2 linked regions of the Stegostoma tigrinum genome follow. The protein of the gene in region 1 interacts with the protein of each later gene in a biochemical or structural test. Links are inferred from orthologs where the notes say so. Each region holds a gene or a part of one and is shown on either strand. Other genes may lie near its edges.

What was found.
Region 2: the proteins of CCAAT/enhancer-binding protein beta-like (region 1) and cebpg form a complex in vitro, tested with the Homo sapiens proteins (2 studies listed by BioGRID and IntAct, with this or other methods). The link is inferred for Stegostoma tigrinum from reciprocal best matches to the Homo sapiens genes CEBPB and CEBPG.

What each region holds. Positions count from the first base shown.
Region 1 is NC_081372.1:39,758,210-39,765,651, reverse strand, and holds CCAAT/enhancer-binding protein beta-like, read right to left. Parts: upstream 3,076-7,442; 5' UTR 2,732-3,075; coding exon 1,808-2,731; 3' UTR 558-1,807; downstream 1-557. UniProt on the Homo sapiens protein: Important transcription factor regulating the expression of genes involved in immune and inflammatory responses. Also plays a significant role in adipogenesis, as well as in the gluconeogenic pathway, liver regeneration, and hematopoiesis.
Region 2 is NC_081369.1:65,875,901-65,883,698, forward strand, and holds the start of cebpg (CCAAT/enhancer-binding protein gamma), read right to left. Parts: upstream 3,051-7,798; 5' UTR 2,744-3,050; intron 2,726-2,743; exon of another isoform or gene 2,602-2,725; intron 1-2,601. UniProt on the Homo sapiens protein: Transcription factor that binds to the promoter and the enhancer regions of target genes. Binds to the enhancer element PRE-I (positive regulatory element-I) of the IL-4 gene. Binds to the promoter and the enhancer of the immunoglobulin heavy chain.

The sequences.
Region 1 (7,442 bases):
CGGAATGACAGACCCAGTACCTTGCTACCTTGAACAATGGGGCATTGCATTATGTTGGAAACTGCTATCAATGCTCTAATGTGCTGATTAGCAGACGTGGCCTGGTGCCCCCAGCATTGCCTAGCAGAACAAGTCACTGTGTTAGTACGTCAGCATATTGTGCTGGAGGGAAGTATAACATGAGCTAGGGCACTGACAGATGAAGCTGTAAGAAACTTTGACAATGTGAGAACATTGCAGGACTTAAAACTGCAAACAAATTAAAACTGCATTGACACACAATGCTGCAGAATGGTAGGATAATGTGATATAACCACTGAAGATTGTAGCAGAGGGGTTAATTGCACGAGCATGCTGTGCTGCACAATTGTGAATTTAGGATCTAGCTCTGGGATCTCCCAAACAGAGGCGCCAAGTGCACGAAAACTATTTGCCCCAAGGACAAGTGGAGGTTCCAGGGCTACCCTCAGCGAAAATTAATATGGGTCATATTAAACATAGGATTTCCAATATAAACCTAAAACAGACACGAATCAATAACAGCAGCGAGGCAAATATTTGCGTTTCACTAAAACTGATTTTAATTCAATTTTAAAAGAGAAAAATAAATACAATATTGCTCATTTGATAAAAAATAATTTCTATTCCTTTGACCCACAATCAAAGTTGATATAAAATTGTAGCATCCCCTTACGTGGTAATTTTAGAATGAAATCTTTAAAAAGGGCAGGCGGTCCCTCAAATGAATAGTCTCTTTAATAACTGACGTAACACTGAATCGCAATAATCGACACAATTCATGCACAACGTCTTGTACAATCCACCTGAGATGACCTACTTTAACCGGTTTAGAAGTTGACTTGCTTGAAAAGGGATACTACAGCTTTAGTCAACAATCACCACATATTCCTAAAATGCAAATAACTGTACAATTTTCACCCAACATTGTACCCAATTTAAGTGTTGCATGGAACAGAATAAAATGTTCTTCAGTACACTTCCATGCTGTGTCACCGCTGGAGTGACGCAATTCAAATGAAAACATTTCAGCAAACTGCTGAAAACATCGCCTTTCCGTCACTGAACCACCCAAATATACAGTTCATTTTCACAAAATAAAAGCAAAGGGGAAAAGGAGACAATACGACACATGAAAAGATAACGTCTAGTTCAGAGCAACAGCCTCCACCATTCTTTTGGGACGGAGGCGACTGCACCGGAGAAATTACAAAACGGCAGTTTTTTGCGTCAAAAAATAATACTTCTTTTAAAAAAATTCAGAAATGTACATTAATGTTGTAACGCGTCTCAGTAGGAGCACGAACCCCCAGCCTATACACAAGAGAAGTAAAGAAATATATATTTTTGGGAGGGGGAGAAACTGGGAGAAAAACCCCGAAATATTTTGTAATAAAAAAACTGCTGTCATCTGACAATTACAAATGAATCTCACACTTGGCAAGTTACACGCTGTTGCGTCATGTGTTTCGACTGAGAAAAGTCACAGTTAAAGCACGGCATCATTTTATATACATTGCTGTATAAAACCCCGCAGTGCTGGTTTCAAGAAACATCATTCATCCCTCTCCCTGCCGTTGTAAAATGCATGGGTTAAGGTCATCTAAACGATATACAACCTCGCTTACTGCAATGTGCTGTAAACACAGAGAATCCTCTATATACAAAGAGTCCTTTTGATCAACTCCTTTATGCAAAAGAGTCACAATATCCGTTGCTTTTATATATATTATAAAGGCGAGAGAAAGAAAATAAGAATCTATAAATATTGGGAGCTGTGCAGTCAATGTCAGCAGTTGCTGGACGCACTGAGCAGGGTATGCTCCGGGAGCTGTTTAAACAAGTTTCTCAGAGTTGCCAGCTCCCGGCTGAGCTGTTCCACTCGCTTCTGGAGCCGCTCGTTCTCGGCGGTCAGTTCCAGCACTTTGTGTTGAGTCTCTACATTCCTGAGCTTGGCCTTGTCCCTGCTCTTCCGCACCGCGATGTTGTTCCTCTCCCTCCTCAGGCGGTACTCGTCGCTGTGTTTGTCCACCAGCTTTTTGCTCTTGTTCTTGGCGGCCGCTCGGCTGGAGTCGGCCGAGTTCGGGGTGGCCGGAGGGGTGGTGGATGAGGACAGGGACGAGGTGGACAGGTTGCTGTTGCTGCCGCTGGCCACGCACTGGTACTGCAGCAGCGGCCTCACGTACGAGGAAGAGGAGGCGGCGGCCGCCGCTGCTGCAGGCTGCACTGACATCCCCCCGCCAGCAGCGGCCTCTTCCTCCCGGCTCTCCTGCTTCACCCCTTTGCCGTCCGGGCTCTGCTCAAACACCGGCTCCAGCCGAGTCTCCAGGAACTGCGGGGTGCAGCTCAGGATGTTGCCCTGGTGCCTGGCGCCGGCCGACGAGCTGCGCATCATCGACAAGTAGGCGTTGTAGTCGGGCAGGGATTTCTTCTTGTACTCGTCTGACAGCATAATATCCGTCAGCAGGTCGCTGCCGAGCTCAAAGTTGCCCCCTGCTGCCGAGGCGGTGGCCGGGTCGATGTATGGGCTGAAGTCGATGGCACTCTCGTTGTCACCGATGCCCAGGTCTGTCATTGAACGGTCGCGGTGCAACTTGTTCGGGGAACAGTCCGACTCGTAGAAGTTGGCCACTTCCATCAAATTAATGTAGGTCGGAGCCGTCTGGAAACATGGCGAGTCGCAACGCGAGTCCCAGCTGGTCAGACTTTGCATGAAAGCCGTGGTTGCAACAAGTGGAAGAAGGGGTTACTAACCCTTCACGAAAATAAAACCGGGGAGTGGGTGGGTTGGGGGGGGGGGGGCAAGGTGCGAGTGCTCTCGTTCAGCACCAGGTCCTGTCGATCGACCACGTAACTCTTATCGCAGAGGCACTGTCCTGAAAAGCTGCGCGCTCTCTCTGTGTGCTTTTAGCTGAGTTCAGAGCCTGTTTGTCTTGACTGTGCTGAAGTTTGAAGCTGCTGGAAGCTCTCGCCAGTTCTTATATTTATAACCACATCGCTCCTACCATTGACGTCAGCTGGCAGCCTGCCATCACCTCCAACCTTTTTTTTCTCTCACTCCTCTCTGCCAGAGCGAGGAGATGTGGCGCCGTCCTTTAAAACATGTAATTATTATTCCTGATATCTGCCCAGAAATGTTTTCGCCTTTGCAAATCAACCTCATTAAAACGGGCGGAGTGCGGAGCAACCTCTCAATCAGCCTGGGCAAGACAGCTTTTGCAGTGCAGGTTGGAATAGAAGTAAAACGGGTTTTCAAAGCATGGATTAGCTCCATTTTAAATCGATGTCATTGCATTTTGTGAGGAGAGCTGGCTCTTCGGCGTTACGTGAGCGTTTTTATAACGAAGCATTAGCCAGCGTTTAATAATTACTTTCAATCTGTCAAACCAAATTCATCCAAACCCTGCGCTCCCAGGTGAAGAGAGGTCTAAGGAAGGAGTTTCCGACGTTACGGTCACTGTGACTTAAGTTCATGCCAGCAGTGGAGAGATTAAGAAACTGGGCAAATGCACAGAATTAGGCAAGGTTGTTGGAAAGTGGGATGGGTTGGAGAGGAATTATATGACAAGGAGGACTATTTTGGTGGGATTTGAACATGATGAGACATTTAAAATGGGATCTTCCGTGGTCTGCAAGCAGAGGAATGATTGATGAATGGGACTTGATGTAAGTTACCGGCAACGAAGATAGATTTCCAGAGGGAGGGGGATGAAGGCCCTTGTCCTGTAATCCATCTCCAACCCATCCCACTTTCCAACAACCTTGCCTTTGTGAATCCTGTGCATTTCCCCCAGTTTCTTAATCCCTCCACTGCTGGCATTAACTTCAGTCACAGTGACTCAAACTCTGAAATTCCTTCCTTAGACCTCTCTTCACCTGGGAGCAGGGTTTCGATGTCTGATTTGAAATGCAGGAACAGTAGGGGACGAAAGGGAAGCAATAACAACATCAACAGGAGGGAGTTTGGCAAGGTAGCACTTGAATGAAAATTGAATCATATTGTGAGAACAGAAGGTGGGTCTCACAAACAGAATATGTTCCGATGTTTAGGGGAAAGAAGCTGGCGAATGATGCAAGTGCTGAATAAGACCAGGTAAAAAAAAGCTCGGAGCTGTTTCGCTTGGTGGACATGAGAGAGGAAGGAAGGGATGATCTCAATCTTACTGACAAAAAAAAATCCAAAGAACTTCTTGTTCTTGTGGCCCTTCACATGTTGTTAACACCAAAGTGCACCATATTATAGTCTAAGAGAGCTGTGTGTTTTATGCGGTTGCTTACTGGGTAATACGTTGCCCTATTCTTTACTATTCTATTTACTAGAAAGTATTTTAAAACTCATCCATTGAACTGTCTCCAAAATCATCAGACATTTTTGTGATTACTTTCTGAAAGTACTTACACTTGCTAAGACACAACTCACAAGGATATTTTTTAAATGAAGAAATATTTTTCTCTATTTCATTATGGAAGTAGTGTATTTACTTTTCACTCGATGGAAGGACCTCCCCTTTGAGACTTGCAGCACTAAGAATAACTTCTAATTTAATTTTAGAATTAATATTATTGTTATTATGGTAATGCAAGATTATGATGAAATGCAATGTTAATGAGTTACCATTTTGTTAAACTTTAACTGTCATTTGGTTTTAGTAGTTCAGTCACAGTGGTTGCATTTGATAAATATTCAGGTTTTACCAGTACAACAAGAAAACATTGACAACAATTTATAACCAGAAAACTCAGTTACATGTGAGAATAAAATGAGAAAAACAACTTGATTTAGTTTTTCTTTTGCTTGGTGATATTTATTATTTTACAGCCAATTGTGTTAAATGTAAAAATATAACATTTGTTATTTAAGGTTCTCTAAACTCTCTGAAAATATATTTCAAGAAATGCCAATTTAATTTTTATTTATATACAATTTTATTAATATGATTTGTTACTGTATACACAGGTATATATGGAGTTATATGTGTAGTAATTATAGAATACATTTAAGAATAAAACTGTGGATGACTGAACATGATTTTTATAATTTGCATATATTCACCCAGGCGCATGTTCCTCGATATATAAATGATATATAAACTGTAAATGAGTATGGTTTGCAGATTTTGGTGTGAGAAAAACACTATTTAATTATTTCTTAAGTGTTTTGCGTCAAATTAATCATATATTCTTCCCTAATTAGAATTAATCCATCCGGTTTCCTTGGGAATTTGCACTCTATAGAATAACTTACTTCATTAATCACTGCCTGAACTTTTTTTTCCTTGGTACTGCATGAAGTTTGCTCAGCAGAAGGCTTATCGAGCGGACACACCCATACCGACACCTACTGGGCATATGCTGTCACTGCATATATTCAACAAGACCCGGAAAAAGAAATGTAGCGTTTACAGGACCCCAAAGAAACTCGCATGGGATGGAATTTGGAGTCCAGCGACTGTTTTATAAGTCAACATTTTTTGCGAATAAACAGTCAACGGGGGGAATGACCAATTAAGTTGTTTTTGGTAATGGCGTTGCAGAAAGAAATGCTGACCAGTATCCAGGAGAATGCTTTTTCCAATTTGAATATGACAGTCAAGATGTATCACATCCGAGCTGTCCCACCACTAAAGGTTTGAGTCGTTAAAGTGAAATGGTGGGAAACTTTCAGCCTGGAGAATGCAGAAATTTGAAGATTAGCTTGATTCATTCAAAGCCGCATTTTATCCTTTGTTGCCGTGTAAGTAGTAACATGGGACGTGAATCCACAAATATTTAAGTCTTAAGCTAGGTTTTAAAAGAAGTGAACTCTTTACAGAAGTGGCTACAATTCCAAATTTTTGTAGTTTTGTCTTTTAACTATTAGAAGCTACATAAATGTATATTCCTTTAGAATCTAATTTTGATTGTGAAGTTGTTCAGTGATTCTAGGGCCTAATAACACAAAGGAACCACAACGAAAAGATCATTACGGATCAGAGCTGCCTTAACCTTTGTTTTTCAGGCTCCCTGTGTACAAAAATTAAAATAATCAAGATTCTAATCGTATTCCATTTGAAGGAAATATGTACTTTGGAGTACACAACTTGGAGACTGGATCAACTGGGCTTGTAGTTGCTGGAATTTAGAAGAATGAGGGGGAATTCTCATAGACACACATAACATCTCTGTAGGACTGGACACACTAGATCCAGGAAGAATGTTCCCAATGATGGGGAAGTCCACAACTAATCTAAGAATAAAGTGGTAAGCCATACAGGACTGAGACGAGGAAGAATTTCTTCACTCAGAGAGTTGCAAACCTGTGGAATTCTCTCCCACAGAGAGCTGTTGGGGCCCTATATTCAAGAGGGAGCTGGACATGGCCCTTGCAGCTAAAGGAATCAAGGAATATGGAGAGAAATGGGAAATAGGATACTGAAATTGCATGATCATATTGAATGGTGATACAGGTTCAAAGGACCGAATGGCTGACTCCTGCAATATTTTTGGAGGTTTCTATGCTCCTAACTTTAAGAGTTGGATACGTGCATGAACCATCATAGTGTAAAAATCAACCTGAGGTACCTAATTCCAAAACCAAATTTATATACAGTTACAATGTAGTTTGATTATTCACTGAAACTAATCTGTACTTAGTTCTGATCATGTTATGAAAACTGACTTTTGAACATTGCTGTGCATTTTCCAAAGATGGGTTTGACAATGGTATATTTGCTATAAATTACTACGTAGTTGAATGGTTATGTATATATGGCATGCATAAAAGATCAAAATGGAATATAACAAAGATTTTTTAAAATATTTTTGGATGATTTGCCTGGATTTTTTTTATAAAAAGGTATCTTGCTGTTATTTTTAAGATTGGTCAGGTAAAAAGAAGGTTAAGTTTAGAAATTCACCATTTATGGGAGCACTATGATAGTTCAGTATATATTTATTGAGTCTTATTTAAATAAAGGTACCTTAAATATTTACAAAAAATATTTTTCAATTAACAAGTTGCGCACCTAGACTAGCCAAGCTGTATTAGCCGACTTGATTGATGTGATATAGAACCTGTGAGGCCCTGTCATTATATAAAATAGTAAAGGCAAGTACAATTATACCATTTAAAAAACATTTGGATGGGTATGTGGAGAGGAAATGCTTACAGGAATATTGAGCAGATGCAGGCAAATGGCACTAGTTCAATTTAGGAAATTGGTTGGCATGGACAAGCTGGGTCAAAGGGTCTGTTTCCGTGCTGTATGACTCTATGACTAAAATATTGTCAAAAGCCACTTTATATCTGTGTGAACCATAAAGTCATAATTGCCACTCACATTTTAAATGTCAAACATTTTAAATGGGATAACAGGGATAATATGCTGCTTGAAGTTAACTGGGAAATAAATACTTGTCAATTATATTAACTTATTGATAGCAGA
Region 2 (7,798 bases), on another chromosome or scaffold:
GGAACTGGAATAAATAGGGAGAGAGGGGGAGGCGGACCGAAGATGGAGAGTAAAGAAGATAGGTACCAACCTCAGGGAATCTCTCTCCCATTGCAACTCTCTTGTAATCTCACCTTCTCCACCTATCTTCTTTACTCTCCATCTTCGGTCCGCCTCCCCCTCTCTCCCTATTTATTCCAGTTCCCTCCCCCCATCCCCCTCTCTGATGAAGGGTCTAGGCCCGAAACGTCAGCTTTTGTGCTCCTGAGATGCTGCTTGGCCTGCTGTGTTCATCCAGCCTCACATTTTATTATCTTGGAATCTCCTGCATCTGCAGTTCCCATTATCTCTGATACTATCTTCTCCTCTATCCATCTTTGGTCCCCCTCCCCCTCTCTCCCAATTTATTTCAGAACCCTCTCCCCATCCCCCTCTCTGATGAAGGGTCTAGGCCCGAAATGTCAGCTTTTGTGCTCCTGAGACGCTGCTTGGCATCCAGCTTCACACTTTGTTATCCAACTATCTTCAGCCAGGAGTGCCAGTCTTCAGTCAATTTGATTCACTCCACATGGTATCAAGAAACATTGGCGGGGGCGCTGGATTCAGCAAAGGCTATGGGCTCTGACAATTATCTAACAATAGTGCTGAACACTTGTCCAGAACTATCCTAGCCAAGCTGCTCAGTACAATTACAACACTGGCATCTACCCAATAGTGTGAAAAATTTCCTTGTACAAAAAAAGTATAAAGCCAAACCTGCCAATGACTGCCCAGTCCACTCTCAATTATCACAGTAATCGAAAGGGTTGTTGACGGTGCTAGTAAATGGCACGTGCTCCATAATAACTTGCCCAGAATTGACAGGTTCTACGAGACTCAAAACTGTTTCTCTCGCTACCGAACTGCTGAGTTTCTCCAGCAACTCCTCAGAATCTCACAGTACAGAAAAGGCCGTTCAGCCTATTGTGTCTCTATCAACACTGACTCCATAAATGCACAGAAATCCCACTTTTCAGCACTTGGCCAGGACCCTTGAATTTTATGACATTTCAAGTGCTCATTCAAGTATTTTTTAAAAGTTTGAGGTTACCCACCCCCAACTAACCTCCCAGACAGCATCATCCAGACTCCCAACACTGTCTGTGTTGAGGGAAGAGGGAGGGGGGGGGGGGGGATGTGAGGTGGAGGGGGGTGTTTGGGGGGAGTGAGAGATGGAGGGGGGTGTTTGGGGAGAGTGAGAGATGGAGGGGGGTGTTTGGGGGGAGTGAGAGATGGAGGGGGGTGTGTGGTGGTGGGGTTGAGAGGTATTGGGGGGGATGTCGTGTTGGGGGGGGGGGGGGGGGAGTGTGGAGTGGATGGGTCATGAGGAGGGAGAATGCGGTGGGGCGTGTGGGGTGGAGGGGTTGTTTGGGGGGGGGGTATGAGGTGGAAGGGGGTGTTTGGAGGGGTGTGAGGTGTCAGGGGATGTAGGGTCGAGTGGGGTGTTTGGAGGAGGTGTGGGCTGTAGGGGGTATGCGGTGGGGTGTGGGGTGTTTGGGGGGTTGTAAGATGGAGGGGATGTGAAGTGTTGGGTGGATGTGGTGGGGGTTGGGTGAGGTGGAGGTGGGATGTGCTGGGGGGAGTGAGAGATGGGGGGGATGTTTGGACAGGGTGTTGGGTGGAGGGGATATGAGGTGGGAGGGGACGTGCTGGGGGGGTGTTTGGGAAGATGTGAGGTGGGGGGGTGTTTGGGGCAGTGTGGGATGTTTGGTGGGGGGGGGGGAGGTGGATGGAGGTGTTGGGGGGGTGTGAGGTGGATGGGGGTGTTTGGGTGGGTGTGGGATGGAGGGGGGTGTTTGAGTTGGTCTGTGGGTTGTAGGGTGGAGGGGACTATTTGGGGGGGTGGGGTGAAGGGGGGCTGTGAGGTTGGGGGGGGAGGGGTGTGAGGTGGGTGTTTGTGGGGGGCAGTGTTGGGAAGGGGGCGTGAGGTGGATGCTGGGAGGGGGGTTGGAGGTTGTGAGGTGTTGGTGAGGGGGTGTGGGGAGGAGGGTAAGGGAGGAGGGTAAGGGGGGAGGGGAGGGTGAGGGGGGGTGGGGGCGATGGGGGGAGGGAGTGTGAGGGTGGTGGGGGGTGAGGGGGAGGGGTGGGGGGTGAGGGGGAGGGGAGGGTGAGTGGTGGGAGGGTAAGGGGGGTGGGGGTAAGGGAGGGTGAGTGGGGGGAGGGTAAGGGGGGTGGGGGTAAGGGGGGTGGGGGTAAGGGGGGTGAGTGGGGGGAGGGTAAGGGGGGGTGGGGGTAAGGGAGGGTGAGTGGGGGGAGGGTAAGGGGGGTGGGGGTAAGGGGGGTGAGTGGGGGGAGGGTAAGGGGGGTGGGGGTAAGGGAGGGTGAGTGGGCGGAGGGTAAGGGGGGTGGGGGGTAAGGGGGGTGAGTGGGGGGAGGGTAAGGGGGGTGGGGGTAAGGGAGGGTGAGTGGGCGGAGGGTAAGGGGGAGGGGAGGGTGATGGGGGGCGGGGGTGGGGCTGCGAGCGTGAGCGACGGTGGGACTCCTCCCCTTCATTATTATTCCAATTTACTGGACCCCGGGCCTTCGGACAATCCCTGCGCTCCCTCCCCCGGTTCCCGTCCCGCCTGCAGTCCCAGGCCTTACCCGCCGCCGATACCGCCGCCGTTCGATGCCGGTGATCCCACCCCCTACGGCCGGTCTTTCTGGAGAGGACCAATCAGAAGCGCACATTGTTCGGCTGACGCAATCCCCTTCTTGATTGATAACCTCTCTAGACAATACGTACCCGGTATTCTGCAATGATGTCATGATGCTATAATGGACAGTACTAGAAGCCAATCAAGTGGCAACGCGGTTGACGGGGTGGGCCAATAGACGACCGGTATTGCGTTGGCGTGCCGCCCGCTCTGATCGTCAGCGCCTGGAGCTAATCATCTGCCGCAACCGGAAAGAACCCATCAGAGATAATGGGAACTGCAGATGCTGGAGATTCCAAGATAATAAAATGTGAGGCTGGATGAACACAGCAGGCCAAGCAGCATCTCAGGAGCACAAAAGCTGACGTTTCGGGCCTAGACCCTTCATCAGAGAGGACCTATGCCCGATTGGTGAATGATGTAACCAATCAGAGACGAGGCGTGCACAAGATTGTCCCGCCCATTAGTGGAGACACGTTCCAGCACATGGGGACACTAACAAAGACACCTGCATTTGTGTAGCGACACATCGCTTGTCAAAGTATTTCACAGTCATTGAACTACGTTTCTAGTCCAGCCACTTCTGTAATGGAACAAACGCAACAACCTATATGTACGTAGCAAGCTCCCACGAATGGCAATGTGATTTAAAACCATTGGCCACTTTTCACCCCAAGCCTGGAGATGCTGGTGTTGGGCTGGGGTGGATAAAGTCAGAAGTCACACAACACCAGGTCATAATCCAACAGGTTTATTTGAAATCACACAGTTTAAGGAGTACACCGCACCTGACCAAGGGGCTGCGCTCTGAAAGCTTATCTGATGCCACACAAACCTTTTGGGCTATAACCTGTAACTTCCAACTTTGGATATTTTCAAGGATATGCTGCACTTGGACATAGACTGTTTTTGTTATACCAACAAGTAAAAGCTGTTCCACCTACTTTAATCTTCCCTAATGCCTGCCAAATTCTGATTCCAGAAGCAAATCACAGTAGGGTAAAAAGAGTCAAGGTGGATTGTGTGCTGCCAGTCATTCAGCTCCTTACCCTACATAAGGAGAGGATCCTGACTTTGCTTACATCAAGCAGATCCAGGACTGCTATATGACACTGCCTTTTACTGACTGTGCTGTAATGACATGGCCAGGCCATAGTAATATGAGCCTGGTGAAGCTAATATAATATTCCTGTTTAAGAAGGGAGGGGGCAGAAGATAGGAAACTCCAGGCCAGTAAGCCTGAGCTTAGTCATTGATAAGATTTAAGAGTTTATTATTAAGGATGAGATTACAGAGTATTTGGAAATGCAAGGTAAAATAGGGCTGAGTCAGCATGGCTTCATCAAGGGGAGGCCATCCCTGATAAATGTGGTAGAATTCTTTAAGGAGGTAACGAACAAGTTAGACAAAGGAGAGCCAGTGAACGTGACCCACTTGGATTTCCGAAGGCCTTTCACAAAGTGCTGTTCAGATGGCTGCCGAACAAGATGACAACGCTAGGGACAAGGTACTGGCACGGATAGATGATTGGCTGACTGGCAGAAAGCAGAGAGTGGGGATCAAGGGATCTTATGACAGATTGCGACTAGTGGAGTTCTGCAGGGTCTGTGTTGGACCACAACTATTCACGTTATACATTAATATCTGGACAAAGGAACTGAGGGTGCTATTGCTAAGTTTGCAGATGACATAAAGATGGGTGGATGGACAGGTACATTTTGAGGATGCAGGGAGGCTGCAGAAGGACTTGGACAGGCTATGCAAATAGGTAAAGAAGTAGCAAATGGAATACAATATGGGAAAGTGTGAGGTTACGCATTTTGGTAGGAAGAATAAATGGATAGAATATGTTCTGAACAGGGTAAGGCTTTGGAAATCTGAAGCACAAGGCAACTTGGCAGTAGTTAAGTCTGCACGTGGCTCGACTCAGACTTCATTTGGAATATTGTGAGCAGTTTACTGCCCTGTATCTAAGGAAGAATGTGCTGGAGTTGGAGGAATCCAGAGGATGTTTACAAGAATGATTCCAGGGATGAAGGACGTGTTATATGAGGAATGGATGAGGACTATGGGTCTGTACTTGATGGAGTTTAGAAGGATATGGGAAGAATCTGATTGAAACTTACAAAATACAGAGAGGCGTGGGTAGTATGGATGTGGAGAAGGTGTTGTCACTAGTAGGAGAGACTAGGTACAGCCTCAGAATGAAGAGATGACTCTTTAGAACAGAGGTGAAGGATAATATTTTTCAGCCAGAGGGCGGTGACTCTGGAACTCATTGCCACAGAGTTATATGGAGAGCGAGTCATTGACTGTATTTAAGACAGAGATAGATAGGCTCTTGGTTAGTAAGCGGAATAAAGGGTTACAGGAAGAAGGTATGAGAATGGGATTTAGAAACACATCAACCATGATTGAATGGTGGAGCAGACCTGATGGGCTGAATGGTCTAATTCTGCTCCTATGTCTTATGGTGTTATGGCTATGCGTAAAAAGGCAAGGCAGGGACGCTATGAGCATCCATATAGGCTCAGAGTGAGTAAGTGTTTCTAAGGTTTTGGAGTAGATCTGTAGCTCGGGTTGTGGGTGTTAAGGTTAGTTGGCTCGCCGAGCTGGTTTGTTGTTCTACAGACGTTTCGTTACCGTGCTGGGTAACATCCTCAGTGCAGCCTCTGATGAAGTGTCGCTGTGTTTTCCCGCCTGGTTTTTAAACCTCTGATGTCTGTTGTGATGGATTGCCTCACTTCCAGGTTTTCCCCCATAGTGGAATGTATATGGGGTCAAGTTCAATGTGTTTATTAATAGCCTGCTTCGTAGAGAGTGCCATGCTTCCAGGAATACTCGTGCTTGTCCCTGCCTAACCTGTCCCAGGATCTTGGTGGTATCCCAGTCAAAGTTGTGGTTCTCCTTGTCCACGTGGATTGAGATGAGTGAGTATTGGTCGTGTCTTTTTGTAGCCATTTGGTGTTCATGTGCTCTTGTTGTTAGTTTCCTTCCTGTTTGTCCGATGTAGTGTTTCTCAGTCCCTGCAGGGGATCTTGTAGATGACATTGGTCCTGTCCATGGTGGGGAGTGGGTCTTTAGTTCAGGTGAGCACTTGTGGTAGGGTCGATATGGGCTTGTGTCCCACTCTGATGCCCAGCGGTGGTAGGAGTCTTGAGGTGAGTTCCAATGTGTTTCTGACGTAGGGTAGTGTGATGTGTGTCAGGGCGTGCAGTATCTTTCTGATGCTTAGATAATAAAATGTGAAGCTGGATGAACACAGCAGGCCAAGCAGCATCTCAGGAGCACAAAAGCTGACGTTTCGGGCCTAGACCCTTCATCAGAGAGGGGGATGGGGGGAGGGAACTGGAATAAATAGGGAGAGAGGGGGAGGCGGACCGAAGATGGAGAGTAAAGAAGATAGGTGGAGAGAGTGTAGGTGGGGAGGTAGGGAGGGGATAGGTCAGTCCAGGGAAGACGGACAGGTCAAGGAGGTGGGATGAGGTTAGTAGGTAGCTGGGGGTGCGGCTTGGGGTGGGAGGAAGGGATGGGTGAGAGGAAGAACCGGTTAGGGAGGCAGAGACAGGTTGGACTGGTTTTGGGATGCAGTGGGTGGGGGGGAAGAGCTGGGCTGGTTGTGTGGTGCAGTGGGGGGAGGGGATGAACTGGGCTGGTTTAGGGATGCAGTAGGGGAAGGGGAGATTTTGAAACTGGTGAAGTCCACATTGATACCATTGGCCTGCAGGGTTCCCAGGCGGAATATGAGTTGCTGTTCCTGCAACCTTCGGGTGGCATCATTGTGGCAGTGCAGGAGGCCCATGATGGACATGTCATCAAGAGAATGGGAGGGGGAGTGGAAATGGTTTGCGACTGGGAGGTACAGTTGTTTGTTGCGAACTGAGCGGAGGTGTTCTGCAAAGCGGTCCCCAAGCCTCCGCTTGGTTTCCCCAAAGTAGAGGAAGCCGCACCGGGTACAGTGGATGCAGTATACCACATTGGCAGATGTGCAGGTGAACCTCTGCTTGATGTGGAATGTCATCTTGGGGCCTGGGATGGGGGTGAGGGAGGAGGTGTGGGGACAAGTGTAGCATTTCCTGCGGTTGCAGGGGAAGGTGCCGGGTGTGGTGGGGTTGGAGGGCAGTGTGGAGCGAACAAGGGAGTCACGGAGAGAGTGGTCTCTCCGGAAAGCAGACAGGGGAGGGGATGGAAAAATGTTTTGGGTGGTGGGGTCGGATTGTAAATGGCGGAAGTGTCGGAGGATAATGCGTTGTATCCGGAGGTTGGTAGGGTGGTGTGTGAGAACGAGGGGGATCCTCTTGGGGCGGTTGTGGCGGGGGCGGGGTGTGAGGGATGTGTCGCGGGAAATGCGGGAGACGCGGTCAAGGGCGTTCTCGATCACCGTGGGGGGAAAGTTGCGGTCCTTAAAGAACTTGGACATCGGATGTGCGGGAGTGGAATGTCTTATCGTGGGAGCAGATGCGGCGGAGGCGGAGGAATTGGGAATAGGGGATGGAATTTTTGCAGGAGGGTGGGTGGGAGGAGGTGTATTCACTTTCTGATCTTTCTGATGCTGTTCGTTTAGGCATCTCCTGACCCAGTAAGTGTTGTGTTCTGAGTAAGTGTAATGACAGCAAGCTCATCGAGATGAATTCTGGTCCAGTCTGTGAGCTAGGTGTCTGAAATGTCTTTGCTGTGATATTAGAGTGATAGTTGCTGGTGTGGCCTGAGGTGCAAAATTGAAGCATTGGGGATGTGCCACGAGGGTTCAGAGAGGTTGGCACATGTTGAATTCCATTGTCTGAGGATGAGGGGTGTGTGGGGTGGTCAATGCCTATGGAGCGTGCCAGAGATGCTGGTTCCTGGTGCCCAACGTAGAGGTTTTTTGGAGCTGGCAGTGAATTGAACATACTAAGAACCCATTGATTTCCATGTAGAGTTTTCCTGATGGTAGTTTGATAAGACTGCAACTGATAGCACATTGGTATGTTAACAAGTTCTTTAATAAGCAATAATGAGCGTCAATTGGGAACTTGTCGCTGTCTCATGAGAATCTTGCCACACCGCTAGAGAAAAGCAAACAAAATGCAGCAAGGTGATCTCTATATTGAGATGTTGAACATCCCACTGTAACTCATGTCATTCACAGCCTCTGGTTCTGATCA